4 linked regions of the Diceros bicornis minor genome follow. Each later gene encodes a partner of the first gene's protein in a complex. Links are inferred from orthologs where the notes say so. Each region holds a gene or a part of one and is shown in the gene's direction. Other genes may lie near its edges.

Region 1 (7,660 bases):
ACTTAGGTCAACACGTATAAACACAAAGTAAAATAAACTCTTTATTTTAAAAATGAAGATTGATATTTAGCAAATAAAAAACATATCAAAATAAATTCACAATAAATACATATCCAGAGATGAAAAGAGCATCTTTTTCGATGCCAGCTAACACTATCCTAAAAGTAGAAAGAATTACTTTAAACTCTGTGGGAAAGAAGATTCCAATTTCCCAAATGAATTATTCACTCACTCTCAGTATTTATGTCCACTTGTCAATGCAGTATGGATAAGTATGGCTAGGATGACTGTATATAATTTTTCATCTAAACTAGGACACTTTCCAGTGTGGAAATATAAAACTGGGACTGTCCTAGCAAGCTTGGCCATATGATCACCCTAATTAAGGGTGTTAACCTTGAAGAAGTTCATTTTGTACCCTCATTTAAGTGAGCATTTACAATCTTGCTGTATTAAAAAATTCATTTTTAATTAGTCCATCATCTATGGCATTTGCTAGAACTAGCTCTTTATTCTAGGAACAGTTACCCCTTTTGGGGAGGAGACGCTCAAACACTCGTGAATATCCGTAAGAAAATGTTGAGTTCCTTGGAAGATCCAGTCCATCAGAACTTAATAAGAATCAACAAAAATAGTAGGCAGATTTTTAGCCAATTGTTTTTGATATGTTGCTTGACTCTCTTGGGGAAACACATTATAAAATACTAAAAGAAATAATATTTATAGGCTAGTAAAATAGTTCTGTTTATCTATACATGGACCTGATGTAATGTTACTCATTTCAAATTTAAAGTTTTCTGCTCTTTTCAAATTCATATGCATTGCAAATATTTTAAAATTCTTTTACATTATGACAAACATTATGATTTCCCTCAAGATGATAAATTGTGCACACAGAGTGAAAAATCAGCCCTTTGATTTTAATAATAGAAAATAGCATACTCACTCACAGTGGTCCAGCCATTGGATCCTGGTCCTTTTACTAAATGCAATTCATTTAGAAATGAAATAATTTGAATATGCTAAGCAATTGCTAGGTAAAATAATAAAAGTTCGGGTCAACTTATTTCATTACTAGAATTTTTTGATGTCAAGATTACAAAAATTATGTTTCTCCTCAAATTATTGGTGCATTTTTAATAAAGCATGATATACATAATCTTGTTGACTGCATAAATTATCTCCGAGTGTAAGTGATGACTTTCAGACAATTGAGACACAGAGGAATTATTAACTCACAACACAACACCCGAAAAACTTTGTAGAAATCATTTTTAAAGTTCTTCCTTGCACTCTCACCAGGGACCATCTGCCCGTAATGTTTCATGTAAAAGTGTTTTGTTTGTTTTTGTGGCAGAACTGTGCTCCAAGGCAGTAGCCACATGAATTCAAAATGAGTGGTCAGTCCAGCCTGTAGAGAACTAAACTGGTCAAACCACATTTTTTGTCTAATTTGATTAACTTAGTCGAATAATATAAACAGTAATCCAGAGATTTTGAGTTAGTCTCCTCCTGAGTGTGAGTCAAAGTGCATTTCCCATGGTAATCGGTACTCGTTACTAGGGGACTACAGTGCTTGTGAGCCTTACATGGGACAACAAATGTGGGCACAATCCTGTGTGTAGGATTCTGAAATAGACAAGTATGACTATTTATCATTATATCTGTCATTCTTCATTTATACATCATTCCTCAGTTCTGTAGTAAATCTTATCGACAGTGTTCTGCATGGTTACATCTAGATTCTGTGTTGGCAGGATTAGTTGCTAATTGCAGAGAATTTGGCACTTGATTCCTCATGTGCTAGTCAATCTGTGCTGTAAACAACTAGATAGCAGGACACATCCTATTTTTCCATAACTCTCCAATACAACTAGCACAGTATCCATCTCAGAATATAGGCTCGATCCCTACTTATTAAACGATTAACCAGTGTCGTTAATCTGTTCTGGGAAAAGATTTATATATATATATATATATATATATGAAATACGTAATGCTGAATTAATGTATTGATTAATGCCACACTGGCTAAGAATCACTTCAGTGATTACTGAAATATTTTCATTTTGTTCTGCTGCATTTTTCCAAATACTTGTCGTCATGCTTCAGTGTGTACTTGAGAAGTTTGCATTATCCATCTTTTCACTTGTCCTTCTGTACCCAAAGTGGCTTCCTGGAAGTCTTCAAGCCATTTATTTCACCTGGAGTTTATGAAATGGCAACTCTTAAGGATCTGATTAGTGGGACGTGGTTTGCTTGTTATTTCTAAATAAGGCTTATAGATGATACTGATAAAAATTATCCAAGAGTCTTCATGGACTATAACCATGTGCCTGACCAATAATTTAAATATAAACACTATAACCTCTAGTAGCCTTCCCATTTAGTATAGCACTTGACGTATAGTAGAGGAGAAAGAGCACTGATTTAAGAGTCTTATGACATAAGTTCAAAGCATAGACGTTTTCATTCACTAGACTTTACTACTGTAAATGAAATCAATGAATCTTTGGGAAAAAAACATTAATGCTTTTGCAAACTTATTGGGAAAAGTTTTAGTTTTTCATAACAAATTCAAAGCTGTAGAGTGATCTCTTTCTAGGAGTTAGATATTACACCAAACATAGGCGATGAGAAGACATAGTGATCATGCAGATATTAAAATCTAGTATTTGATTCTGCTCTAAATTTTAAAATGAACACACCAAGACATAAAAAGTTTTGCCAGAGGTCACACTAGAAAGTAGCAGAACCAGGACTTGAATTTCACGTCTCTTGGTCCAATCCCAGTGCTTTCTACTTCTTTCTTAGTGGTTCCCTGGGCAGTGTGCTTCCTCCACAGCAGAATTCAATATAGCTTTCACCTGGGAATATCTGATTAAAGAACCACTGTTTGTGGAGCCAGCCATACTCTGCAACATCGACTTTTCTTCTCATGGGCTGAAGGAAATAGCTCAAAATGAAGTACATCTCAGCCGCCTCCCAAAGCAAAACAAAACCAAGCCACAACTGGAAATACAATATTCTATAACCTGGCAATTTAACTCCTCTGGTTATTTTCTATCTCCTGATAACCAAATAGGTATAACACAGTTTCTTACAAGTCTTTTAACGACAACTGATAGAGATTGGTAAGTACCTTATTTTTTAAATGTATGTATTTTTATTGACCTTGATCCTATTGATCTTAATATCAAAGATTGTGCAATAAGTTTCTTCCATGGATCCAGGTAATAAAAATGTCAACAGGAGCATACTGCTTCAGAAACATGATATCCCTTTAATTTATGTTGCCTTGTCTTCCTCTGTTAGTCTACAAAGACTGAGGATCTCCTTTTGTTCCTGAATTGCAATAACTACCAGTTTCTCAGCGCCTCTGATCTCAGATTCACTAAGAATTGAATAATCATCACAATATCTTATCTATTTCTAAATGTTACGTAATTTCTTGATGTAAAGTCTTAGAGATAGGAGAGATTTTAGATGTTATTTGATCCATCTCTTCTGGTTTACAGATGAGAAAATTGATACCCAGATAAATTAAGTGACTTTCAGTGCTATTTAGGTTTCAGCAATTATAATTATTGCTGTATCTCACACATTTACGTTCCTATCAAAAGACAAGCGCATTTCAAATTTAAAACTTTCTTCCCAGATAATCTCCAATGATTCATTAAACACATTTAGAATAAAATTGTGTTTTGAGACAAAACTTTTTCTAAAATATTAAAGTATGTTACATATTTTACATTGTTTCATAATATTATGTTTATAAATTACCTGCATTTTTGTTAAGGCTACTTTGAGATATAAATGTTGTAGTATAAATTACTTTCTTATTTCATAGGTGATAGCATAATTAAGTCAAATATTTAAAAATATGTGCAATTATTTTAAATTTATGAATATATTCGCAAAAGGTTATTTTCTCTAATACGTATACTTATAGATAATGAAAAATAATTCTACATATATGTATATGTATACACACAACACACACACACACAAAGGTTTTGTTTATGACACATATACACATACTTATGTAATGAACAGAGTAAAAAAAGTTTAAAAACCTACAGGATAAAGTTTCGTCATTTAACTGTGGAAAACAGATCAAGGAACAGCTCTGATTATCAGAGCCCCCCCAAAATAAGAGTTGGATCATAGAATTAATAATGATGGATGCAGTTATTATTTTTCTGTATGCATTTATGAAGATAGACACGTTAGATAAAAAATTTCCTCGATGCTTTGTAAAGTATAATTCAATACACACACATGCACGCACACACACACTCCCTTAACTCCTTTAACTCTCTGAGCAGAATATTATATTCAGATTTCCTTTAAATCACAGGCAGCTCTGTTTGGCAAGTTCTAACAGAACTCAGTCAAGGTGAAATCCAGCCAGCTTTTGCTGCTAACAATGTATTCATACAGCTTATGATCTCTGTCTGTTCAGGCTGCTTCTTGCTCTTGTCTCGGAATAAGAAAGGAGTGCTGCTTTCCTGGGGTATGCTATTTGAGAAAGAAAGTAACCTAACACTAACTGCAGGCGGGGTCAGAGTGATGTAACAGGAAGCTCTGATGTTTCCCTTCTGCTGCTGAGCACATACAATGTGACAACACTTCCAATCTACTCAGAACAACCCTCTCTCTCCAGCAGAGTGTCACTCCTGCTTTAGGATCATCAAGCTCTGCTAACTGGACCTCACCCTGCCTGCAGGATACCTCGCAAGGCTCTCACTCTTCCCCACCTTGCCTGGGGGTAAATCTCTCCTGCGGAATCTCAGAAAATCAGATTCCATCCTAAGAATATTGCACCAAGAATTTCCTTAGGAGCTGTGCTGGGTAAGTACATTACTCAAAATAAATATATTTATTCTGAGTAGTATTCTCATGTAGTTTGACGTTTCTACTATAGAATTTAATTGATGACGTTGAAATGATGTTGAAACGTATTTTCATTTGTTTCACATGTTAAAGAAACTAGAGTGTATTACCCCAAGATGTATACAAAATCTGTTACTATGAGATAATATTATGTACAGTGATATTCTAGAAAATAAATTTAGCGAGTAATAAAAATCTAAATGGATTAAAAGCATGCTTCTGAATAAATAAAAACAAAATCAAGGAGCAATGCCTTTTAAAATTAGCTACTATTAGCTAGGATTGAATTTTGACAGCTGGAAAACATTTTTTTCCCCTAGGAAGGGTTTTTAAACTTTCCATATAATCAGTACTCTGTGAAAGGGATGAAAGAATAACTATTTATGGGGTCTCAGAGTCTCACTGGCTCTGTAGTTGAACACAATGGAGAATTAAAAGAAAAGTAAACACTTAGGATTTATTACATTTGTCTTCTATTTGCATTTTGCCTCTATTTACACATATATCTCTTACTATTGAACTAATGGAATTTTCATTGTTCGTTGTTGCCAGATGTGTTTAAGTCTCTCTCTTGCTAACCCTGAACTGTTTCTGCTGTATTGGATCATGGGGTGGGCTACAAAGGGAAAAAAACAGCTAGGGTTGAGAAAATGTTGAGATTTCTATATTAACTCCAACTTCAAAACTCTTCAGCTAATAGAATGTGTTACTTCAATTTGTCTGGTATGCCTCTGCACACTTTTGGAAGGAGGGTGTGATATTGAGATAACTGTGGATAAAGAAAAACAACAAAATTTTCCCAAATAAGTATATCAGATTATTAAACAGAGAAATTAAAGTGGGTATTTTTTAAAAAAAAAAGAATTTCCAGGATAAAATTTACTGAAATGTTGAGATGAAACATCTGTTAACGCTTCTTTCAACAGTACAGACTGTCCTGGGCAATTTAAGAAACTAGTGTCTCTTTAAGACGTTGTTGGTATAGAGATATCACAAATCAGTTGCCGAGAAAAATTAGATGTCAGATTTGAGTTCGAATTATATTGATTGACATAATTTATATGTATTTTCTTACCTAAATGAAATTATCATCTGCAAAATATCCTTCAACGGAGAAATCCTGTGCTTAATCACCCATAATCTGGCACATTAGCAGTGGACTACAAACTCATTCTGAGTAACTCCTTCATAATTTTCTACTCAATTTTTCCACAAATTTCTCCAAATAATGGAAATTTCAATTAAGTCTTATTTTTGTGATTCTTTACAAATGTTGTAGCTGATTTCCAGTCTCCTTTCAATCATTAAATGTATTGAGTTTCCTGATGCATGTGTAGAAATGGGAAAAGTGTTTTTAGAGGAGGAAAGGGAAAGAACACATTAAATGCCTAACCCAATGCCATGGGTTAGTAACAAAAATTAAAATAGCATGATTTTTAATTTAGATTATTTTTTAGAAGGAGGTATGGTATTAAGTTAATATCAAATTAATATCATACGTTATAATAAGGAACTCCCCAAACTTCTCTAAGTTTTATTTAATTGCTAGCCAAAAACTCAAAATTTTCTTGCATAATTTAATTAAATTTTTATAACTGTACTAATAGTATGGTTTATAATCTTTATTTTCAAAAAATACTGTTGAAAAACACTAGACAATGAATTTTGAGGGTGATTAGGCAAAGTCATATTTGAAAGTTTGAAATAAGAATTCATATTATATTCTAAAGTTTGTATTCTTTAATGATAAGAGAATATCAGAGTATCAGTGCATGCTTAGAATTTTTTTTCTAGATGTTGTTACCCTATGGGATCATAAAATCAATGCACAGAGTCTAAAGCCAGTTCTAAACATGTAAAATGAAACACAGAATTGAGAAATTTCATGAATAATGTAAGCTGAAATATGTTTTACCTGTAATATTCAGTTATCTTTAAGAAATATGCTTTTGGTTATTGCTACAATGTCTTTTTCTCCTAATATGTCTTAGCACATGCCAAAATACTATTTTATTAGTTAAAATATGTAAATTTTTAGAATATATACAACTATTCATTCAGGTTGAAAAAATTGGAATAACAGAAAAATAAAAAGAAATTAGAATTGGGTCTGTAATTTTTAAAATTATGTTAAATAAATGTCCGAGGTGTATGTACTTGACTCACCAATGACGCCTAGGATATAATGAGGTTTCAAAGGAGTGAACACCCTAGCATACTGATGAGAACCTTCACATTCACCAGTATATATTATAGTATTGTTTGATGTGTAAAAAATTCATTTCAATAACACCTTCAAAACAATATTAAGATAAAAAAGATTACCTTATATGCTTTATGTTAATATGGAAAAATTCTTTGATAAACACACAAAAACTAATCAGACGTTAGTTAATAGTATTATATATTTCTAACTTACATCATTTTTGTAACCATTATAACAATATTTTGCTTTTAATTTTTATCTCCATGGTTAAAATTTGATAGTAACTGAGTTTTTAAGAATTACCTGAGAGACCTTTATAGAAAAATTAACAAAATAATTTTTAAAGGATCAAAATATACATTCACTAAAAAAATATTTCATACTCTTATGTATGACTTTGAATGGTGCTTGAAAAAATAATTCTGTTTTTAGAGATATCATGATTATGGTGTCAACTTTTCAGAAAACAAATATATTCAAAGAACATTATTTGAAGTCATTGGCTTTATTCCTTATCTTTGTTTAGGATTCAGAGAAGGTTTTAAACCATAAACATAA
Region 2 (7,143 bases), on another chromosome or scaffold:
CATGGCGAGGGGCGCGGGCGGGCTTCGCGGCTCGGCGACGCGAGGGTGGGGCGCTCATGGCCCGACCCTGGCCCCGGCCCGCGCACCCCGGACACCCCGGGCCCGCTCCTCCGCCGTGGCCAGGGCTCCCGCCGCCATCTTCCCAGCCAGCCGGCCCGCCCGGCCGCGCCGTGCGCCTGCGCGGCACCGCCCCACCCTCCCCGTGGGCGGGGCCCGGGACGGCCCGCACCCATTGGTCCAGCGGCCCGGGCTCGCTTCCCGGGGGCGGGGCCCCGCCCATCTCCTCCCGCTCCGGGCCGGGGCGCCGCCCCCAGGGAGGTGACAGCGACGGCGGCCCGGACGGGTCAGCGACAGGCACGGCCGCGGTCGGAGCTGGCCTCGAGCTCGGGGCTCCCACGCGCGGGCGCAGAGCGGTCGGGGCGGGGCCCTGGGCTCTCCCCTAGCGCTGTCAGTCTGGAGGAAGGCAAGAGGGCCCGGCCCTGCCCTCGGGTCTCCAAACTCAGGGCTGCCAGCTTGGCGATGGGGGACTACCCAGGCCCTGCCCTTGGGGTTCCCAGCACGCTTGGAAGCCCCATCTAGGTGGGTGACACATTCAACACATGTCCATGAAAAAAGGCGCGCTGCATGTCCCGCTGTAAAGAGCCCTGGTGCGCTGCTTGGGAGAAGGCAGGATCCCTGACAATGCCCACCCTCAAGGACAGCGCCGGCCAGGGCCTCCCCTGCAGTGGCACAGGGATGGGCAAAGGGGACACAGAGCCTGAGACAGAACACCTAGGAGAGGAGCTTGGGAGGTGGAGGAGCCTCAGGTTGCCCCACTGACATGCTGGGAGGGAGGGTGGCAGGGTTGGGTTTGTGTTTAGAGTTTGGCTGCTGCAAGAACCGACGAAGAAACAAACTGCTGACAGCCATGTTCCGTCCCCTTGCAGGAGCCAGCCCAAGAGAATGAATGAAACTGAACCCAGAGACAAAAGCTGAGGGAGAGACCTTGCCAGGCTCCCCTCCCTGCCCCCGGGGGCAGGCCTAGCCACAGCCTCCTCTGCTTCTATTGGCTGCTGGGTACACAGGCTGAGAAACCTTCCTTTTTGCCCCTGGTGTCCTGGGTTGGTTTCTATCACTTACACCCGAAAGGTCCTCCCCGCCGCATTACCACACCATTGAGCTTGAGCATGGGCCGGCAGTGTCCCTGGCCAGTCCTCTGGCCTGGCACCTGAGCCCAGGACTGGCTCTCCCCCAGAAACTGTGGGGACCCTGCACCCCACCTCCCCCACCCTCATGCCCTAAGGATCCCATTCCTTGCAGCTCTCTGGAAGTGCCTTAGGGTCAAGGGGAGGTTTGGGATCCCTTCTAGACCATGATAGCCCCCACTCGAGTTTCTTGCCATTGAGTTCCCTGCCCACTACACTGCCCAGGTCACCCTCCGAGGTGCTCACACCTACCTGCTTCCTCCCCTTCTGGGGACTGTGCCACTCCCAGTGCCTCCTCTCCTCCCAGCAGTGAATGACTCTCCTGGGTCCCCTGGCCTCTTGGCTTCCTCCTTCTGTCCTTTTACCCCCACCCATCGTGGCTCCCATCGCCTGTCATCCAGCCCATGTCGTCGGCCCCCACCTCTCTGGCTTTGTTTTCAGTGTTCTCATCAGGCAAACCGAGATGGAAGCTCCCCTCACCACCCAGCCTGCTGACGTCTGGTCAGCTCTCCTCCCGTCTGCAGTATCCTCTAACCTCTGACCCCACCTCCTGTGTCTCAGAGATGACCCCACAGCTTCACAGAGAAAACAGAAGCCATCCAATGGAAGGCCTCGTGTTGCACCACCAAACTCCAAGCCCACCTCCCTCACACTCTACCTCCTCCCTCCACAATTACCATCGAGGCTCCGCCCCGCCCGACCTCCTCCCCACCTCTTGCTGTTTCCTATCAACACCCCCATCCTCACTCTTTCCCTATTGAGGGACCCTTGCCATCAGGATTAAACTCAACCTCTCCGGGCTGGCCTCATGGCTTAGAGGTTAAGTGCATGCGCTCCGCTACTGGTGGCCTGGGGTTCAGATCCCAGGCGCGCACCGACGCACCCCTTCTCCGGCCATGCTGAGGCAGGGTCTCACATACAGCAACTAGAAGGATGTGCAACTATGACACACAACTATCTACTGGGGCTTTGGGGAAAAAAAGGAGGAGGATTGGCAATAGATGTTAGCTCAGAGCCAGTCTTCCTCAGCAAAAAGAGGAGGATTAGCATGGATGTTAGCTCAGGGCTGATCTTTCTCACACACACAAAAAAAGAAAACTCAACTACTCCCACCTTAAAACACTCAAGCAAAACCTCCCTGGATGCTGTTTGCCCCACCAGTTGACACCTAGCTTTTCTTGCCCCACAAGGATTTCTCTAAAGCATTCCTCCAACATCACCAGCACCGCCTGCCTCCTGTGGCCTGGTCCCTCTCACCAGCCAACCTCTGGTCTATTTCTTGTGAGCCGTTCCCGGCAGCCAGCCCATCACCACCTAGAAGCAGCTTCTCCAACTGAAGATACATGAAGGAAATCCTTGAGTTTCCCCTTGAAGGGTACATGGACAGTTACAGACAAGCGCCACGAGAGGTGCTGTTCAGGGGCCTGTGGGACCACAGAGGGGGCCCCTAATCCAGTCAGGAGGGGCAGGGGCAAAATAAGCAGCCAGGCTTAAGCCTGAGGACCAGAGGACATCCCGCCCACGGGCAACCAGGGAGGTGGGACCACAGGCCCACGGTGGCAGCAAGTGTTCCGAAAGAAAGAATGTAGTGAGCCACGGGCCTCGAACCTCCCTGAGGCTCCCTGAGGCTCACCTCCACGTGTCCCGGATTAAAAACCTCATGGACACAGGGAATTTTGATTTATTTTTCCTTTATTGGTGGCGTGAGTAACATGATCACATTTGTGTTTTGGAACGTGGCACTGGCAGCAGTGTGGAAGACAGATTGAGGGGAGGTGTAGGGAGGCTGGAGAGAGGAGAAGCAGCTGCAGAATCGGTCCTGCCTCTGTGTCCTCTGCGCACCCCCTGCCCTACTTGTTCCTTCAGACCTGGCATGTGGGTTCTTTCCTCTCTCTGCACTCTGTGGGCGGTGCTCACCTCACCTCTCGCCTCCCAGAGCCTTGCCATCTCTGAAACTCCCAAAACTGTGTTCCAAGTCTGCCATCTCTTCAGCCGCAGGCCCACGAGGCTGGAACCTGGCCAGACACCTCTGCCAGGATGTCCCCCAGGCAGCCAACCCCTCCTGGCTCTCTCCAGCAGCTCCTTGCATCAGCAAACAGAAGGGCTGACCCTGCTCTGCCTCCCTACCCAGCTCAGTTTCCCTCTGAGCCGTCCACTCTGTCCCCATGGCACGCCTCCTGCCAGCCCCGCAGCATCCCCTCCCTCCTGAACCCCACTTTTCTGATATAAATGTGGTCACGTCACTCTCCCTCCTCCCCCCACTGGTAAAAATAAATAAACAAACAGAAACAGGAGTATCTGCCAATGCTTCCCCACCTTCCTCAGGATGTAAACCAAGCTCTTGAGTATGGCATGCTTTCAACACTTGTTGATTTATTCATCCAGCAAATGTTTATTGAGCTCCCATGGCGTGTGCGACAGGAGAGTGGCCAGGTCACCCGGGATGACCTGACAGAGGGAGCAAGACTGGGCAGGGTTAGGCAGAAGAGGAAATACAAATGGACACAGAGATGCCCAGATGATCCAGGAAATGTCCACTAAGTGGGGCGACAGGATAACTGTCCCCTCTCAGATTGACAAAGAAGCAAGGAACTACTGACACGAAGTCTGTCATCCGCTGACAGTGGATTGGTGCAAGCTTTGTGGAGAACAATTTGACACTACCTGTTGACACAAACACAGGCTCACCCTCAACCAGAATTTCCACTTCTGGGAAAGTATCCTGTAGAGAGACATCTGCGAGCTCACAGCAGACGGGTTCTTACTCTTGGAAGGCTGGAAATCGCCTAATTGCTCATTAATAAAGGATCAATTAAGTCAGTCACAAAACACTTACATACTGGAGTCAGCCAAGCATAAGAAAGAATGGAGGGCTCTATGATTACGTAGATTCTTACCTATATAAGCATATATGTGTTTATGTAATACATGCAGTACACACACAGGACGCCCCTCGCGTGTCTCCAGCGTACACGGGAGACAGGAACGCGGCGCCCGCGCAGATCTGGGAGAGGCAATGCGGGGTCTCACTTTTTACTTATTTAAATTTCTTACAAAAACCATTTATACTCCGATAATGGGAGAAAAAAGGTAGAGATGCTTAGGAATACAGCTGCTAGGGGATCTTGAGGAGGGGTCTCGAGATCGCCTCGTGAGGAACCCTCCCCAGAAGAGATACTGGCCAGGGCCCCGGGCCGACATTTGCGGGTCAGAGAGGTGGCAGGCGGGACCGCCCGGCTGCTACAGCCCCCAGCACCCACCCCCTCACCCGGACAGGTTGGGGCCCCCAGGACGCGGGACACTGAACCTCAGCGGAGCGCCGTGCAGCCGGCCGGGCTGCAGTCCACCCGCGGCAGGGCTGGGTTGGGGGCCGGGGAGGGCGCCCCGCCCAGCCGCGCGTCGGCCCCGCCTCCTCAGGAGGGACTATTTAGCTCGGTGGAGCCGAGGCTCCATCCCCAGTTGGACCCCGACAGCGATCTGACCGCGGAGGCCTCGCCCTCGCCCGCCTGGCCCACAGTCCGCAGACTCTCGCCCGCTTCTCGCCCGCGCCCCGCACCCCGAAGGACGCAGGTACAACCTGCGCGCGGCGCCCACCGCGGAGGGCTCCCCAAGGTGAGGGCAGAAAGGTGGCTTGGGCTAGGGCCGCCCCACACCTGCCGGCTCACGCCCCCTCCAGCCCCGCCCGCCATGGCCCGGCTCCTGACCGTCACCCTCGGTTGCATCAGCCTCCTCTACCTGCAGCTCCCGGGCACGCTGTCCCGGCGGCCCGCCAGACCGAGGTGAGTGGGGCTCAGACCAGCCTGACCCCTGGCCTGCAAGGCAGAAGACCAGAATGCCCAGGGAGGTCCCCTCTGCCCGCAGCCCTCCCCAGGCCCCCCACCCCCGGGCCTCCCGCCTGCTGCTAGTGCTTACCTCCGAAATCAAAGACCAGCCTCCGTGCCTTCAGCAACCTCTGAGCAGGGCAAGAGGCCCCTCTTTCTTTTCCTCTTTTCCTGGGGCACCCGCTTCCCCCACTGTTAGAGCAGACCCCTCAACAGGAGAGATCAGCTAGGAGAGAGGGGGCTGGAGGGGTCACCTCCCCCACCGAAAGGGAAGGGCTGATGGGGCCTCTCTCTGGTCCTGAGCAGAGTGACCCATAGAGGCCAGGGGTGTCCTTTACCCAGGGAGTTGCAGGTGAATGGACATGTGACCTGGTCTACTGAGATGGCTGAGGGCTAGGACCCAAGCCCTGACCCCAAGAGGGAGGTGGGCTTCCCTTGGCAGTGCTCCAGGCTGGGTGTATGTGTGTGTGTGAGGGGAGTGGTAGAGGGGCTGTGGGCTTCCCCTGATCTGCTGGGTACTGGTGTGGGGGCTGTGGGCTTCCCCTGATCTGCTGGGTACTGGTGTGGGGGCTGTGGGCTTCCCCTGGTCTGCTGGGTAGTGGTGTGGGGGCTGTGGGCTTCCCCTGGTCTGCTGCGAACTGGTGAGGGGGCTGTGGGCTTCCCCTGGCAGTGCTCCAGGCTGTTGGGGGAGCCATGGGCTTCCCCTGGCAATGACCCTAGGCCTGTGTGGAGGGGAAAGTGAGTGGGTTTGGGGGTCCCCCCAAGGTTGGGCCATCTGGTTTACTTCCTTCATCTCCCTCTGCAGGGAGCCCCCAGCCCGGAACCCTTCCAGTGGCCTGCAGCCCTGGCACCCTGCACCCCAGCCTGCGGTCTGGAAGCTACGCCAGGCCTTCCAGCCACAGAGGAGTGCCAGCCTGGCCTCCGCTATGGGTCAGCCTCTCCGGGATGGCCCCCGCCGACACTTGGGCCCCCGCAGGCCCCAAGCCCAGCTCCTGCGGGTAGGCTGTGTGCTGGGCACCTGCCAAGTACAGAACCTTAGCCATCGCCTATGGCAGCTGGTCGGGTCGGCCGGCCCACGGGACTCAGCCCCCGTGGACCCCAGCAGCCCCCACAGCTATGGCTGAGGAGGGGCAGGCCATACCCCTGCCTGTCCCAGCAGGGATGCTGCACCCCAAGCCCAGAGCTGCAGCTAAGCCCCCAGCCCCAGCCCAGCCCCCTGGAGCTCCTGAAGATGACAGTGACTGGAACAGTGGTGCAGGCCCCTGAGGGGACCCCCACCCCACCCCACGTCCTGCGGCAGCTGACCTCAAATGGCTTTGGACGTGTAAACCCATGCACACACGTAGACCCAGGCAGATCCGTGGACAGAGTCTGTACACCAGGGGTCTGCACACCCTGGGAGTGTGCACACTCAGGGGACAGGTGCCAAGCAGAGGTGGCCAGAAGCATCAGATACTGAAAACGGCTTCAGAGGGGAGAGGTCTGCCCGAGGATGTGAAGCAGAAGCCAGGGTGCTGACCGCCCAGGACCACTTCTGGCCCAGCAGGAGAGAGGGGCCAAGTTGGCCCAGCATGGCCCCTTCCCTGCTGGTCCTGACATCATCGGATTAAAGCCCGGCTTTGGGTGTGCATGATTTGCCTGCTGCAGGTCCCCAGCCTCTGCCTCTCCTGTACCCTTGGGACTGGGAGGGCAGCAGGGAGGAGGAACCTACTGTAGCCCCTGGGCTAGGATGAGGGAGGACGGGCCGTGCTGGGAACTGTGCTACCCTAGCTGCTAACCCTGGAGCCTGGGCCCAAGGTTGCAGTGGAGACTCCTGCCTGGATCCCTGTGAGCAGCTGGGGAGGGGGCATAGGGGTTCAGGAGCCAGGGGCCCGTCTGGGGCAGGGCAGGGCAGAGCAGAATGCCCCTTCCCATCCCCCAGAGCAGGGTGGGGCTGGGGTGGGGGCAAGATCTCCCAGCCCAAAGATGTCAATTAAGTCAGAACCACCACCACCTCAGGGGTTGGGGATGGCCAAACAAGAGGGAAGCCTCCATAGGCAACAGGGTCCCTGACCCCCACCCTGCGTAGCATGAGGACTCAATGGGACCAGGCATAGGGACAACAGGAGGCTGGAGCAGGCTTGCCCCGAGAGCAGGCT
Region 3 (7,317 bases), on another chromosome or scaffold:
GTGCTGAGGGACCAGCAGTGTTCTCAGTACTGCTGGGTGTGTGCTGTGGTCACTTGGCCACAGTCCTCTTCAGTCACGCTGTCTGAACGTCGTTCTTATAAATCTGGCCTGGGTCCTTTTCAGAAAAACAGCCTCCACCACGTGATGTCATGGTCCAGCCTGGGTCAGGGAAGGAGGTGGGAGGAGGTTGTGTGCATGTAGTTGGGTGAAGCAGGATCTTCTTATTTCTGGAGGGGTCAATCTGGTCCTGCAAGAAACACTCTATCCTTCTCTCCAAATTTCAAGACCCAGCAAGGAATCAATATCCTGATGTGAAGTGAGAGGGAGGTGATAAATCATAATGGTTAAGACATGAAGCTTCGGGCCGGCCCCGTGGCTTAGCGGTTAAGTGTGCGCTCCAATACTGGTGGCCCGGGTTCGGATCCCGGGCGCGCACCGACGCACTGCTTCTCCGGCCATGCTGAGGCCGCGTTCCACATACAGCAACTAGAAGGATGTGCAACTATGACATACAACTATCTACTGGGGCTTTAGGGGGGGGAAAAAAAGGAGGAGGATTGGCAATAGATGTTAGCTCAGAGCCGGTCTTCCTCAGCAAAAAGAGCAGGATTAGCATGGATGTTAGCTCAGGGCTGATCTTCCTCACACACACAAAAAAATAAATAAATAAATAAATAAAAAAAATAAGACATGAAGCTTAGGGGTTGGCCGAGGGGTTGGCCGCGTGGCGTAGCGGTTAAGTGTGCACGCTCCGCTACTGGCGGCCTGAGTTCAGATCCCGGGCACGCACCGATGCACTGCTTGTCAGGCCATTCTGTGGCGGCGTCCCACATAAAGTGGAGGAAGATGGGCATGGATGTTAGCTCAGGGCCAGTCTTCCTCAGCAAAAAGAGGAGGATGAATGTTAGCTTGGGGCTGATCTTCTGCACAAAAAAAAAAAAAAAGAAGAAGAAGAAGACATGAAGCTTACTATCAAGCAGTCCTGGGTTCAAATTCTCACTCCCAATTACTACCTCTGGGACCTTAGGCAAATCACTCCTATTTCCCCATTTCACCCATGGACAAGACAATTCTGATGTTATGGTAAGGTTTTAAGAAATGCATGAAAAGCACTCCACATATGTGTCGGGGAACACACTATGCAGCACATAACAACTTTTCAATAAGTGGTAGCTACTACTAAGTTCATAGCAATTGAAGAGGAATCTGGCTTGACCATTTTCTCTGCCTTTTGCTAACTTGAGAGCCAAAGTTTTCTCCAATGACCATTCTTCCCTCTGAGAGGTGGTCGTGCTCCTCATACCAAGTGTGCCATCATTCTGGAGATGAGGAGGCTAGGGAGAGATGAAGGAGTTGTGTCCTTACCCCTTAGTCTTCCCTCCCTTAGCCAGCTGGTTTCCTGGTTGCAGCTCTTCTGATTCTCCCTGCTGCCTCCCTCTGAAGAAGTCTGTCTCCTCTGTCCAGCTTGCAAGCATCAGCCCCTCCCAGCCAGGACTTCTGGCTTCCCTGACCCTGACTCTCCCCCACGGCCTCTCCTGTGCTCTGCTCTTTATTTTGCAGACAGCTGGGGAGAGGCCAGCATGAGTGAATGTCTCTACACCCGTAGAGATGCTAATTCCAGGATGCTCTGCATGTAATTTTATTGTGTAGGAGGCCCCCAGGGCTTTTTACTTCCCCCTAGGTTTCTCTGGATTTATATGTGTGTGTAGGGGAAAGTCTGAGGATTAGAAACGGCACTCCTTGTAAGGATCGAGTCACCTCTCCCCCTGCTCCAAGTAGGATGGCCCTTGGCCCATAATAAGGAGGGAAATTTACATGGCCATAAGACCCCTACCCAGGAGAAGTCAGTTCTAGGTTGGGGCCAGAAATCTCAAGTCAATGTCTAGCTGGACCAGCACCAGATCCTCTCTTCCCAAGCACTAGAGGTGGGAGTGGGGTAGGGAAAGAGGAATAAGGGAGTGTGTAGGGAACTTAAAGATTAAACTCCACTGGATATAAGAAAAAAAGACTAAAGACAATATTATACTACAGTTAAAAGGAAAGAGGCGCATCTAAACACAGTACCATGGGAAGATACCCAAGACGTATTATTAAGTAAAAAAAAGAAATCACTGAACAACAGGAATATTAAATCCCATTTATGGTTTTATTTTTTTAAGTCCAAAATATGTGGCGAGGTGAGTGAGAAAGGAATGGGAGTATAAAGTTTTCTGCATTTAAATATTTTGCAACAAGTATATACTTATGTATTACTTGCAATTAAAAAGTATATTTTTATAGCAAAAAGAATATATTTTAAAGAAGAAGTCGGCTTAGAAAGGGAAAGTAGGGGTCTCAGGGGTGGAAAATGAGAGTTCCCACAAAACAACCAGCCTCTGTCCCTAATGAAGCCCTTCTCTGTCACCTTGCTGCACAACATGGGACTATCTCCTATGGCAACAAGATGAGGTCTCTAGTCTCCATTCAGCCCCAAGAGACCACCATAGCAGACCCCCAGTTACCAGGATGCCCCGAGGGATCAATGAAATAGCCAAACATCCAACTGGTAAGGAAAAGTGGGAAGAGGAAAGTCAGGAGGAGAGAAAATGCCCAGATTCTCCTCCAATGAGAGAGTTTGGACTCCCAAGTTCAGGAATGACTACAACAAGCTCTCCTTTGGAGGTCTCCACATCATGATGCAAGCTTAACCACAACTCTAGGCTAAAAATAACACTTTCTATCAAGTCATCTATATTTTCCCGTTTGATTCTTTTTTTTTTTTTTTGTAAGGAAGATCAACCTTGAGCTAACACCCATGCTACTCCTCCTCTTTTTTCTGAGGAAGACCAGCTCTGAGCTAACATCCACTGCCAATCCTCCTCCTTTTTTTCCCCAAAGCCCCAGGAGATAGTTGTATGTCATAGTTGCACATCCTTCTAGATGCTGTATGTGGGACGCCACCTCAGCATGGCCGGAGAAGTGGTGCGTCGGTGCGTGCTCGGGATCCGAACCGCGCACTTAACCGCTAAGCCACGGGGCCAGCCCTTCCCTTTTGATTCTAAGGTCATTTTATACATGAAAATGTTGAGCTCCAAAGACGTGAAATGGCCTGCCCCAGGTTACACAGCAAGACAGAGGCAGAACCTGCCTTCAGAATCCTAACCAATGTTTGTTTTTACCAATGATGTCATACTGTCCTATTTAAAACCCAACATTTGCTTTTGTCACCTTTGATCTTGACCCCACCCCCAGTTCTTCTAACCCACAGTGGGCTCAGGTTCTTCTGGACCCAGCCTAGTGGAAATGGCTGGTTTTGCTTTCTGCCCCTCCTTGCTTCCTTCTCCCATCTTATCACCCAGAAATCTCCCTCTTGACCATGTTTCCTTCTTGGAAAGGGCAATCACAGGTAGGAGGGAAGGAATGAATTTTGTCCCTGGCCTGAAGTGGCTCTGAGGCTGCCTGACTCTTTTCTGCACATTGCAGAAGACAACCCTCACCAGGAGGGCTTTGGGGTTAATGCCAAGTGAGCCATCTCTCTTCTCTCTCTGGGTGCCTTGCTAAAGCAACCTCTTGCCCCTAGCTATGGAGGAGGACAACAGGTTATCAGTCACCATGATGAGAGCCTAAGACCCTGAGACAAAGATTTGAAGAGAGACCATTAAAGATAATTTGTGATGGGCAGGAATTAGTAAACTGGGACAACAGCAGCAGCTGAGTCCAAGGGTCAGTGTCTGGGAGTAATTTAGGAAAGTTTGGTGCTGACAGCTGTGCCTAGAGTTGAACGTCAAGCCAAACCATCTCCTGGGCTCCTCGGCTGCTTCAGTCTAACGAAGCTCTGGCTCAGGACACAGAGACAGCAGTGGTGTGGCAGAAGTGGGGCCCCAGCTCAGGCTTGCTGCTTCCCAGCAGTGTGACCTCAGGCAAGTCCTTAGGAAAGGAGGAAAGGAAACTAGCATCTGCCAAGTGAGTGCAGTGCCCTTTCATGTACATCATCCTCACTACAGTTTAGTGAGGAGGGTAATGTTCCTATTTTACACAGGAGGAAACTGAGAATAAGGTAACTGAAGTCATTCCAGGCTATATAGTTGTGGAGTGGGAAGGCAGAATTAGGACTCAGAGTTTCTGAACTCAAGCTCTGGGCTCTTTCCCTTGAGCTTTGACTTCTTTCTCTGGAGAATGGGCCTAATAATGTACCCACCCCATGAATTAAGTCACACATTGTAGGTTCTAACTCCCTCCTTTCTCACAACCTCTCGGTCCTGAAGAGTGTGGCCACCTTCTTCCTGGGAATGGAGTAATCTTACTTTTGTCCCTCCCTTCGATCCGGTTAGTGGGTCTGTTCCCCAGGAGGTGCCTCGAAGGGAGGGTATTTCGACTTTGATTTCTTCCCTATCCCTTCCCCAGGTCTTCCCCCGATTCTGGAGGGCCGGCTCCCTCTTCTCCGCCTCCCCGGTTTCGGCAGGCGGGGTGACATCAGTGGGTGTTCCCAGGGAAAGGGAACTCGGAGCTCAGCTCCAGGCGCCCCCTCCCCCACGGCCCAGGACAGCCCCAACCCCCAGTCTTAGATACTGCGGCGTTGAGAGGCCCTCTGAGCTCCCAGCCCCCTCCCTCTTCTCCAGGTCCCCTAGAGCAGCCTGCTACCCACTTCCCCACCTCCCACCTCGCGGCGAAAGAGAAGGGGAGACTACAGTCCAGGGAGCGGATGCTCCAAGACCCTGGCGAGTCCTGGGCGCCACGAGGCCGAGCCCAGGAAATGGATCCCGGTTCTGGGGTTACTAAGGGAGCTGTCCAGCCCCGTAGGGTGAGCTAGAAGAAAGGGTGGGCCAACGCCGACGCCGACCCGGCGGACGGAGCGGCGGGCGCCAGGACCGGGTGGGGCAGCGACTCCCCCTCCAGCTCGCCGGCCCCGGGCGTCGCCCCCGCCCCCCACGTGGCCGCAGCCGTCCCAGCCCCTGCGAGGAAACCGCGCGCTTCCTGCGGCTCCGGCCGGGGATATAGGCGCCCCCGCCCGGGCCCGGCTCCGCGCCGCCGCCCCTCCTCGCCTGCTCGCCGCGCGATGGCCTCGCTACGGGCGGAGCGCACCGCCGGCGGCCCGCGGCTGCCTGCGACCCGCGCCGGGCGACCGGCAGCGCTCCGCCTCCTCCTCCTGCTGGGCGGTGAGTGCAGCGCCCTGGGGCCCAGGCGGGAGGCGCGGGAGGCCCTGGAGGGGCGGGGGGCTGGACGGCCGAGGCCGAAATGGGCCCCGGGGTGCGAGTGCAGACGGCTCTGTCCTTCGGACGGTCGTTGGCCCCACAGCAGTGAGGGCGCAGCGCAAGCTGCTTCCCACTTGGGGAAAGCTGGGGTGCCGGGGCCCGCGGAGAGGTCTTGGGAGGTCTGGGGCTGGCGAGAAGGGAGGGGGTTTGGGGTCGGGATGAGAGTGAGAAGGAGCCTATACCAGTTCCTCTCTTCCCTGCACTGAGGCATCCCGTGGGGGCCTGGATTATTCCTCTTTCTCTATCTAGCCCTGACTTCCAAAGATCTCAGCCTCCAACCCACTGCCCCCACCCTCCCACCCCGCGTCCACGCTCCATTGTCCAGATCCCCGCCATCCCACCTCCCTCTCCCATTTCTGCCCACAGCTGTCCTGAAGCCCCAGGAGTCCATGGCTCAGCTTTGTCCCACCAGGGGCAGCTTGGAGTCGGAAGGTGAGTACCCAGCAGCTGTGGGAGGGTGGCCTAGGGCAAGAAGGAGAGCCAGGTCGGTGGGGAGGTCCCTTTCCCACAAGGCAGGCCCCAACCTCAACTGGCACCCCACTAAACCCCCCTCTGTTCTCTCTTGGGGTTCCTTGTGCTCTTTCTCCCTCTCCTCCCACAAAGCCTCCTCCCAGCTCTGGGCTGGCCCACCTCACAGGTGGGTTAGAAGACCCCAGGAAAAGTGTACATGGAAGCTCTTGTCAGGCTGGGAAGAGCTGTGCACATGGAAGGCATTAAAATTTTCCTGAGCTAGGACTCTCTCCTCAGCCATAAGTGTCTTGCTCGGGAAACTTTCTGAGGCTCTCCTCCTAGTTCCCATGTTTGAAGACAGGGACAGTGGTTCCTCAGTGGAAATACCTGGACCAGAGGGCCTGGAGGGAGGGGCGGGGTGTGGCCAATGTGCAGCATCTGTGTCCACAGGGAAAATGGTGGAGAACTATGAGACAAATGTCAAACTTTGCTGGCAGCGTTATAAGATTTATATGGACACTATCGAAAAAGATTGGTGTGACTGGGCCATGATTAGCAGGTAAGAGCAGTGCTGGAGGTGGTTTGGGCCAGCGACGGGGCCTGCTCCTTGTGGGTGTATGTTGAGTGAGTGTGGGTCACCCCTTTCTCTGGACCCAACCTCTCCCTCACTCTAGTCCTCTCCTGCCCCCAGGCCTTATAGCGCCCTGCAACATTGCTTGGAGCAGACTGCAGAAGAGTTTGGCCTGGGCTTCCCCAATCCTTGGGCAGAACAGATCATCTTTGAGACTCATCAGATCCACTTTGCCAACTGCTCCCTAGTGCAGCCCACGTTCTCAGACCCCCCAGAGGATCTGCTCCTGGCCATGATTATAGCCCCCATTTGCCTCATCCCCTTCCTTGTCACCCTTGTGGTGTGGAGAAGTAAAGACAGTGAAGCCCAGGCCTAGGGTGGCATGAACTTCTCAGCAGCCATCTTACTCCTTTCCCCTGCCACCACCAGGTCTCTCTCCTCCCCTCCCTACCTCTTTCTCTCACTCCCACCCCCACCACAGAGCCTTGGATTGGTGGAAATGGAAGCCGGGAGGGGTCATGGCACAAATTCTGTAATCTTCAAAATAAAGCACTTTTTTGTATACTGTCTCCTCCCCATCCCACTGGGGACTGTGTCCTTCCCAGAGTCTCTGCCATTCCCACAGGCCCTCAGCTCTGGGCAGCAGAGCTGGAAGAATCTGGATAGCCCCACTGTTTTGTTCACTAATCTGCACCCCCCCCCAGACTGCCCTCCCCCAAGGCCACACCCCTACACTCTTTCCTCCCAAGGAGGGGGGGCTTTCCTGCTCCTATCCAAACCTAGCTCCAGGAAACATGCAGGAAGAGACTCCCTTCCGGTCTGGACAGCAGCTAGGGAGGTGTGGGGGGAGGAGCAAGGGAGGAACCTCTTGCTGTGACTCCTGCAAGAAGGAAGGGGGCCACCCAGAAGCCCTGAATTTTCCTCTTCTTCACGGCTTAGTTTACTCTCAGGGCCTGGGAATAGGAACCCTGATCTGACCAATAGGAGTCCATCCCTGAGGACCTCAAGATTGAGGGCAAAAGGCAGTGGGGGCTTCCTCTACTAGGTTCACCACAGGACTCCCTC
Region 4 (7,941 bases), on another chromosome or scaffold:
CCTCCAGTTCATGGCACCGCAGGGGGGCTCTATTTTTAACCCCCAGCCCTGTCCTTCCCAGGGCTGCCCCTCCTCTGGCTCCCCTCACACCCACCACCCCAGCCGCCCCCACTGCAGCTCCGGGAGGACCATGTGGGGTCTGCGCTTCTCTCTCTCAAACAAGAAAGCAGCCGCAGCAGGCTGGGCTCTTCATGCCAGACATGCAGGCACAGAGCAAGGGCGGCATAAAAGGAGACCCTGAGGTTCACACTCTGGGCCCTCATCTCTCCAGACCCTCATCTCGTTAGAAAACCCAAATACCAAGGGCCTCAAGGCAGCTGCCCTGCGGCCCTAGTGGCAGAGCACAGGGGACCCGTGGGGAGCCCTGCTGCCCTGTCTGGTCCGGGTCTCTTTGCCTGAGGGCTCCTTTCTGCCTTTGTGTGGCCACCATGTATGCTCATGTCGGGGGTGTCTTCCTGCTGTGGAGAGAGGGGAGCCGGTTCCCCCCAAAGGAACATGGAATTCCTAAGTGATGCACCGCGCCAGGGACGGTTCCTGTCCCAGCACGCCGAGGAAGGAGTGCCGTCTGCTCGCAGCCTCCGCATGCAGCCTTTGAAAGACACAAGCTGTGAATGATTACATTTGCAGTCACGCGGAAATGGAACCCATGTGGCCCCAAACAGCTGGTGTTAAAATTTGGGGCAATTTCATTCAGTTTTTGAAACTGTAATGTTGCCTCTGTTTCCAGTGAAAGAAACCACATCAGGCTCGTTTAAGGAAAATGTCAGTGTTGTTCTCCTGTACCTGAAAAAGGAAGCTGGTTTCCAGATCCACCCGAACAGCTTGCCGGGCCTCGTCCCAGTTGTAGGAACTGGCAGAGAGAACGGCCGTGGCTCTGGGCTCTCCCAGGGCAGGAAAGAATGGACAGGGGGTCGGTGGGACTGGCCACCACAGGTCTCACCCTTGGGAGGCAGAGGGTGGTTCAGAGAGAGGTGAGAGATGCAGCCCAGAGCCAGGCCAGGGTCAAGGCCAGGGGGTAGGCCCTGCAGCCAGCCCAGGGCAGGAGTTGCACAGACAGTGGGAGCTAGAGCCAGCCTTGTTCCAGCGTGATCTCTGAGGCTACAGGACATGGTGGCCACTGAGGGCCCAAGGCAGCAGGGTGGGGGCAGGCGGCTGTCTTCCATAGCCCAGAGGACAGCAGGAGGTTGACCTGAATACACCAGGGAGGGACACCTTAATAGGAGGAATTATGGTCTGGGGCCTTCCCCCTCAGAGCTCATTCCAACCAGATGGAGGGCCTGGTGGCACTCCTTCTGGCCCCCCGCACCAGCACTTCCCCTCTTGGGGACCCCACCAGAGGAGGCAACATCTGGCTCTGCTGGACAGTTATGCAGCCCCCACTTCCCTGGCCCTCAGCGGACTTGGGAGCCACCCAGCGTCCTTGTAACAGGTTCCTGCAGTGCTTAGGTCAGCCCGGGTGGGTTTCTGTTGCGGGCAGCCAAGAGCCCTCGCTGAGGTGCACATGCGTCTTCGTTTGCCCTAAAACCAACCCTTCCAGAAGAGGAGGGGCCCCACCGTGCTTCCTGACCCTCTCTGGGACAGTCCAAGGCATTCTAGCTTCGTTCCCACACAGTATGTCCACTGATAAGGCTGGGGGGCGCCGTCTCGTTCGTTCGTTCATTCATTTGACAAATACTGATGCACAGAGGGCTGGGTGCCGGGGAGGATGTGCACATGAGTCAGAAAGGAGTGGGAGATGAGAGGGCAACCAAGACTGTTCCCAGAAAAGAAAGAAACCTCCTACCTGCCCTACCCAAGGCGCTGAGGAGGTGGGCGGGGGGCAGCTGGGGCCTCAGAGGAGGAGGAGGCGACAATGGAGGAGGACAGGCGCATTTGGGCGTGGGGTTTGCTGGGGGAAGGCATTCCCAATGGGGAGGCAGGACGGGTGCTGGAGCAGTGAGGGAGTGGGGACAAACGGAGGGACGACCCTCGAAATGAGGCTGGACGGGCAGCTTGGAATCCCTTGCGGGAGCCGGTATCTGAGCCTTCCTGAACTACCCGTGAGCCCCTGGCGCTTCACCTGTCTGGCAGGTGGGCTTTCTTAGGGGCGTCCTGATGGGGCAGGTGTCAGGAGTAGCCCATTCCCTGGGCCTGCCTGACAGTGGGCAGAAGAAGCCTCCAGGGTAGAGAGTCTCCCACAGCTGGTCCTACGGGTGCACTCACTGTGCCTGTGTGGACCCTGCAGGGGACACACCTGGGCTGTTGGGAAGTGGCATGAACCAAGGTGGGTGCGGAGGCTCCTGGGGGCAGGGACCAGATCTCACTCCCCAGCCTCCTGAGCACCCCCCTGAGGGCCAGAGGGATGTGCTCTGCCCTCCGAGCTCTCCCAGGGGCAGGTGTAGCCCAGAGATAAGGGACCAGCGGCCCCCCCATGGCCCCATACTCCAGTAGGGGGGCTCCTTCCCAGGGCGTCTGGGCAGGGACAGTCTTGCCTGCTCCTCTCCTCAGGAAGAGGACCCTTTCATCTCTGCCTGTCCCCCACCCACCATTACTCCCCAGCCTCTTGGGCTAAAAACCCCAGGAGTCCTTGCTGCCTCACCCGGCAGTAAGGTGCCCTGCCCTAGTGGACAGCCTTGCCTGCAGGGCACCATGCAGGGCAGTGGGCACAGGATGGCTGCAGCTCACCTGCAGTCAGGTCACAGTCCGAGGCTTTCTTCAAACTTCTGCTGCCAGGCCTCACCTCTGTTCATTGTGTGTCTTGTTTGTGTTTTTGTTTTTAATTGAACACAGAGGTGTGTTCCATTGCTATGAATGTCGCTTTCCTTGCTTTGGCCAATCTTGTCAAGATGTGTGCAGCCTGGAGCCTGTCACTTAAATCAGTCAAATGAACTTGTTAGCCCACCCGCGCCCATCTCACATTCTAGTGGAACCCACGGGTCTCGGAAACACAGGCCCTGGCAGAGGTGGGCAGTCTCACACCAGCTCCCTCTCCTGGGAACCATGGAGGGGCACAGGGAGAGTGTACCTGGGGGCGACTTCAGGGCCACACTGCCCATGTTCCTGGCTTGCTGCAGGTGGCCTTTGTGCCCGACCCACACTCCTGGCCCTCCATGGATGCCTGCAGGTCCCCAGTGTCTATCTGTCTTTCACTTTTGTTTAAGGCAGCCAGTCGGCTTGGTTACCTGTAACCAAGGCCACTCTTTACCTGTTCCCCTCCCAATGCGACATACCTCACTCTGTGAGCCAGTCGTCACCTCTGCGCTGTCCGGGGCTTCAGCTTCCCATCAGTACTCTGTTCTGGCAGAGCCAGGTCAGAGCCCTGGTGTGCAGTGTGTGGAATTCATCCATCCACCCACCCATCCACCACCCTAACCATCCACTCACCTACCCACCCATTCATCCATCCATCTACCCACCCATGCATCCATCCATCTACCTACCCATCCATCCATCTACCCACCCACCCATCCATCCATCCATCCACTCACTCACTCACCCATGCTTCCATACACCCACCCATCCACCACCCTAACCATCCACTCACCTACCCACCCATTCATCCATCCATCTACCCACCCATGCATCCATCCATCTACCTACCCATCCATCCATCTACCCACCCACCCATCCATCCATCCATCCACTCACTCACTCACCCATGCTTCCATACACCCACCCATCCATTGATCCATCTACCCACCCACCCATCCACCCACCCACATATCCAGTAATTAGTCATTGAGCCCCCTGGAGTTGCACTCTGGAATGGTGCTTCACGGCTCCTTGTCATCACCCTACTCTGTGACACCTCACCCCTCCCCTAGCCCTTCCTGACATGCCCCCTTGCTCAGGTGTGCCCTCTGCTGCACTTCCCAGCTTCCCACCTGGTCCTGAGCCTCACAGGACCGGGAGCTGGCTGGGTTCAGGGCCAAGGGAGGTGAGGCAGCTTCAGTCTAGCCTACATCTCTTCTGGTGCTGGGACCTCAGGCCCATTTCTGAGCCTCAAAGCCTCAGTTTCCCTATCTATAAGTTGATGATCATAATAGGTAGGACCCACCTCCAAGGTAGCCATGTGTGGTGAAGAGCCTCGGGCAGTGCCCGTACATCACAGGGACTGGAATACCAATTCCTCTGCATTTTACAGGAGACAGAGGCAGAGGGGGCAAGAGTTCTTGGCGCCAAGGGTGTGCCCACATGAGTGCACACCCCTCTCTAGGCTATGTTTCAGAGACAAAGACCCCAGAACCCCCCTCCCTATCTTCCTGCCCTGAGGGCGGCTGGCCTATCCCTGGGTGTCCATTTCACCCACTGCCCTGTGGTCTCCCCTGGCCTGAGGGCTGTAAGGGGCACTGGGTGTCCCCACGTGTCCATGACGCCCAACGAGGAGTCCAAGAATTCCCAGCACAGCCCTGGCTTCCCAGCTCCAGGCTCCTTCCAGGAATTTGGAAGGGCCCTGCTGGTAGGGGTGGGGCTGGGCAGAGGACCCAGCATAGCCTGGGGGGCAGTAGGTGGGCCAGCAGCCAGACTCTGAACAGAGAATGCAAAGGACCACACCCCCTGCACCCTACCCATAGAGAGGTGAAGAAAGTGGATGTTCAGCCTGAAGAAGAGGCGGCCTAGTGGGTAGGGGACCATGGGAGAAGCTTCCCTGCCTGCCCAGCCTCCACTAGAGCCAGTCGTGGGCTTGGGGGAAATGAGTGAATTTTGAGTGTGCAATGCATTGCTTGACCAATAATTTTTACCTCATATATTTATGAAGGTGGGAGGGTGGAACACATTCCATGTCACGGTTTGTCACCTGAGTTGATAACTGGTAAATATTCAGACACAGTGGATATGGGCCTTCACAAGGGCCCTGGGATGGGAGCCCCCAGCCCACAGGGAAGGCAGGGGAGGGTTGGGCGGGGGCCCCAGCAAGGGCGGAGGGTGACAGTCCCTGGGCGCTGTCATTGCAGTGCATCAGCTCTTCATGGCCATGGCCTGCCAGCACGCAGACTACGGCACCCTCCTCCAGGAGTTCTGCCTCGCCCGGTTCAAGGTGGACATGGAGGCCATCGGGAAGACGCTGTGGTGTGACTGGGGCAAGACCATCAAGTGAGTGTCCCCTGATGGGAGGGACGTGGCTGTGGGGGAGCCTTGGGGCCACAGGGCCTGGTGAGAGGATTCCATTGGAGGCCACGGTGAGGGGTTCTTCACTGCAGTCCGGGGTGACGGGATGTAGCCATGACAGGGGACAGACTGAGGACAAAGGGAGGTGCCGGTGACAGTTGGGTGTGGACAGTGAGGGGGTGGGAGGAGGCCATGTCCATGATGGCCTGGGGCCAAGGTGGACTCAGGGATCCATGAGGGGGCAGGAGAGAGAGGGTCCCATCTGGGCCGTGTCCAGTCTGAGATGCCTGTGGCCCATGGGCAGGTGTCTGGGGGACAAGGGAGGGCAGAGTCTGGTGCCCAGGGGCGGCTGAGCGGCCAAGTCTCTGTAACAGGAGCCCCAGCTTGCAACGATGTCCTGCTTGTTCCCTCGGTCCCTGTGGTCAGGCCAAGGCTATCCTTCCCACCCTGTTCCGGGCTCAGAGCTTCCTGGAACCATGGGGCAGGCTGTCACCGGAGGGGTGGCCCGAGGCTCCCCATGGACAACAGCTGGTGCTGAGCCCCTTCGCCTTTGTGACTCAGTCCTTCTGCCAAAATGCCCTTCTTCCCACCCCCCGGGGTTCACCAGCTGCCTCCCTCAGCCTCTCAGGCCCCAGGCACCCCGGGCTTCTGGAGCAGGGATCAGAACTTGGCATGTTTGCCATCGATGTTCTAGTCTGTGTTTCTGCTTCAGTGTGCAGGGCATGGGGGCATCCGGGAGCTCCAGTGGGCAAGTAAAGGAAACAAGAAATACCCCAAAACGCTGAGATCACAGGCTGGCGGCTGACCCTGCCATGCACACGGGATCCTCAGCGTGCGCGGTTACCACGGGCGCTATGATATCCTTCCTGCAAAGACCTGCGCCTCGGTTTACCACACACAGGAGCGGGGCACGGTGGTGCTGCTTGCTTCCCTCTCCTGGCGTCCACCCAGAGAGGGCACTTTCCTCCAGGGCCTGGGGCAGGAAAGAGGAAAGGCAGGGCGGGAAAGAGGAGAGGCAGGTCTCCTGATCCTCATCCGTTCTCTGCCGCTTCCAAGCCATCAGGGTCTCATTTTCTAGGCTGAGAAATTAATCATGAGTAAGAAATCGAGTGGGGACAGGTTGTTAAAAATCAGAACAGCCTGTTCTCTGGGCTCAAATCACTCAGCTGAGTGATTTGTGCTTAAATGAAAGATTTCATGTTATTACAATCCAGGGAAGACACAGTGGGGGTCCCTGGAGAAAAGCACTCTCTCCCATGCTCTGTGTAAGCCATCATGGACTTGTGTAGGTGGATTCCAAACTGGTGGCCTCGCAGAAGATGGCAGGGTAATGCCATGTGATGTTCTGAAAGAAGCAGTGGTAACACGTTACTAGGAATGGAAGCCACTGCAGCCGGTTTCCGACAGTGCCTAGAGTGCACACGGAAGTAACTACCACTCCTGCCACTGAGGGTTTGCCACAGTTTACCGTTGTCAGGGCCGCCTGGTGACACAGCTGGAAATAGAAGCAGGGGGCGGGGGGTGAGGTTGCTAGGAAATTTCTTTTATTTAAAAAGAAAATCGAGGGGCCAGCCCGGTGGCGACAGTGGTTAAGTGCTCGCACTCCGCTGCGGCAGCCCGGGGCTCACCGGTTCAGATCCCCGGCACACACCAACGCACCGCTTGTCAAGCCATGCTGTGGCAGCGTCCCATATAAAGTAGAGGAAGATGGGCACAGATGTTAGCCCCGGGCCAGTCTTCCTCAGCAAAAAGAGGAGGATTGGCAGATGTTAGCTCAGGGCCGATCTTCCTCATAAAAAAAAAAAAAAGAAAGAAAATCGAGATAATTGAGGGAGGAAGAAGCAAAAGTCCTCATCATAACAGCATCTCAGCAGGTCAGCTGGGCCTGCCAGCCCCGGGGTCTGTGGTCAGCAGAATCACGGCTCCTAGATACGGCCACATCCTGATCCTGGATCCTGGGAATATGTTACGTGGCATGGCAAAGGGGAAGTAAATTGCAGGTGGAACTAAAGTTGCTCAGGTGACCTTGAGATGAGGACATTATCCCGGATTATCAGAGTGAGTCCAACATAATCACAAGGGGCCTTAAATTGTCCCCGCTTTGGCCATTAGAACACCTTCCAGCTGGCTTTTGTGTCCTTTTGACCTGCCCCCATCCTTCTTTGAGCACTTCCTTACTTTCTGGTACCAGGAGATGTTCCGGGCTCATCTTGTACATTTTTGGCCCCAGCCCTGGAATCAGCCATTTCACCAAGGAGCCCTGGTTCCTTTTATTGAAGAATGGTATTTAGAAGCCAGGATATGTGTACAGTCATGCATTGCTTAAGGACGGGAACACGTTCTGAGAAATGCATCGGTAGGTGATTTTGTCGTTGTGTGAACATCATAGAGTGCACTTACACAAACCCAGATGGTGTGACCTGGGCTACGTGGTACTGATCTTATGGCACCACCATCGTACATGCGGTCCGTGGTGGACAGAAACATCATTATGCTGCACATGACTGTGTGTACACACACATGTATTTATACCAGGGATTTAGACATAACCAATGAGGCCATGCAAGCGCAGAAGAAAATGTGGGTGAATTCCTCTTTAGCTTTGGCGTCGGGAAGGGCTATGTCTAATGATACTTATTTTAAGGAATTGGCTCACATGATGGTGGGGTCTGGCAAGTCCAAAGTCTGTAGGGCAGGCCAGCAGGCTGGAAACTCCAGGGCGGAGCTGATGCTGCAGCCTTGAGGCAGGATTTCTGAACTTACCGTTAAGGCCTTTCTACTGACTGGATGAGGCCCCACCCACATTATCAAGGATCATCTCCTCTACTGAAAACCAAGGGAGCGTAGGTGGGA

Evidence for each region.
Region 2: the proteins of CALCRL (region 1) and ADM2 are in contact, whole or in part, in a cryo-EM structure (PDB 6UVA), measured with the Homo sapiens proteins. The link is inferred for Diceros bicornis minor from reciprocal best matches to the Homo sapiens genes CALCRL and ADM2. Residues at the interface, in NP_001258680.1 of Homo sapiens: Val36, Thr37, Lys40, Asp70, Gly71, Trp72, Asp90, Tyr91, Phe92, Gln93, Asp94, Phe95, Asp96, Pro97, Ser98, His114, Ala116, Ser117, Thr120, Trp121, Thr122, Tyr124, Thr125, Asn128, Thr131, Lys134, Val135, Ala138, Leu139, Leu141; in NP_001240774.1 of Homo sapiens: Leu106, Arg107, Val108, Gly109, Cys110, Val111, Leu112, Gly113, Thr114, Cys115, Gln116, Val117, Gln118, Asn119, Leu120, Ser121, His122, Arg123, Leu124, Trp125, Gln126, Leu127, Met128, Gly129, Pro130, Ala131, Gly132, Arg133, Gln134, Asp135.
Region 3: the proteins of CALCRL (region 1) and RAMP2 are in contact, whole or in part, in a crystal structure (PDB 3AQF), measured with the Homo sapiens proteins. The link is inferred for Diceros bicornis minor from reciprocal best matches to the Homo sapiens genes CALCRL and RAMP2. Residues at the interface, in NP_001258680.1 of Homo sapiens: Arg38, Asn39, Ile41, Met42, Thr43, Gln45, Tyr46, Glu47, Tyr49, Gln50, Lys51, Ile52, Met53, Gln54, Trp69, Asp70, Gly71, Arg119; in NP_005845.2 of Homo sapiens: Trp86, Ile89, Tyr93, Ser94, Arg97, Leu109, Gly110, Pro112, Glu117, Ile120, Phe121, His124, Gln125, Phe128, Ala129, Cys131, Ser132, Leu133, Val134.
Region 4: the proteins of CALCRL (region 1) and RAMP1 are in contact, whole or in part, in a cryo-EM structure (PDB 6E3Y), measured with the Homo sapiens proteins. The link is inferred for Diceros bicornis minor from reciprocal best matches to the Homo sapiens genes CALCRL and RAMP1. Residues at the interface, in NP_001258680.1 of Homo sapiens: Asn39, Met42, Thr43, Gln45, Tyr46, Glu47, Tyr49, Gln50, Lys51, Ile52, Met53, Gln54, Thr68, Trp69, Asp70, Gly71, Arg113, Arg119, Thr120, Phe228, Leu231, Ile235, Thr239, Val243, Ala244, Gln250, Trp254, Tyr255, Leu258, Phe262; in NP_005846.1 of Homo sapiens: Trp59, Ile63, Tyr66, Arg67, Ala70, Phe83, Trp84, Pro85, Asp90, Phe93, Leu94, His97, Gly98, Phe101, Arg102, Cys104, Pro105, Ile106, Ser107, Gly108, Arg109, Ala110, Val111, Arg112, Asp113, Pro114, Ile118, Leu119, Phe122, Ile123.

The regions. Positions count from the first base shown.
Region 1 is NC_080749.1:66,686,161-66,693,820, reverse strand, and holds the start of CALCRL (calcitonin gene-related peptide type 1 receptor), read left to right. Parts: upstream 1-4,659; 5' UTR 4,660-4,854; intron 4,855-7,660. UniProt on the Homo sapiens protein: G protein-coupled receptor which specificity is determined by its interaction with receptor-activity-modifying proteins (RAMPs). Together with RAMP1, form the receptor complex for calcitonin-gene-related peptides CALCA/CGRP1 and CALCB/CGRP2.
Region 2 is NC_080764.1:328,052-335,194, reverse strand, and holds ADM2 (protein ADM2), read left to right. Parts: upstream 1-4,686; 5' UTR 4,687-4,871; coding exon 4,872-4,963; intron 4,964-5,810; coding exon 5,811-6,129; 3' UTR 6,130-6,638; downstream 6,639-7,143. Other genes in the region: SBF1 (myotubularin-related protein 5), read right to left, coding at 1-3. UniProt on the Homo sapiens protein: Intermedin/ADM2 is a peptide hormone that plays a role as physiological regulator of gastrointestinal and cardiovascular bioactivities mediated by the CALCRL-RAMPs receptor complexes.
Region 3 is NC_080757.1:41,784,075-41,791,391, forward strand, and holds RAMP2 (receptor activity-modifying protein 2), read left to right. Parts: upstream 1-4,565; 5' UTR 4,566-5,035; coding exon 5,036-5,135; intron 5,136-5,597; coding exon 5,598-5,663; intron 5,664-6,131; coding exon 6,132-6,240; intron 6,241-6,372; coding exon 6,373-6,628; 3' UTR 6,629-6,814; downstream 6,815-7,317. UniProt on the Homo sapiens protein: Accessory protein that interacts with and modulates the function of G-protein coupled receptors including calcitonin gene-related peptide type 1 receptor (CALCRL) and calcitonin receptor (CALCR). Required for the transport of CALCRL to the plasma membrane.
Region 4 is NC_080776.1:25,333,359-25,341,299, forward strand, and holds the start of RAMP1 (receptor activity-modifying protein 1), read left to right. Parts: upstream 1-4,930; 5' UTR 4,931-4,948; coding exon 4,949-5,073; intron 5,074-7,941. UniProt on the Homo sapiens protein: Accessory protein that interacts with and modulates the function of G-protein coupled receptors including calcitonin gene-related peptide type 1 receptor (CALCRL) and calcitonin receptor (CALCR). Required for the transport of CALCRL to the plasma membrane.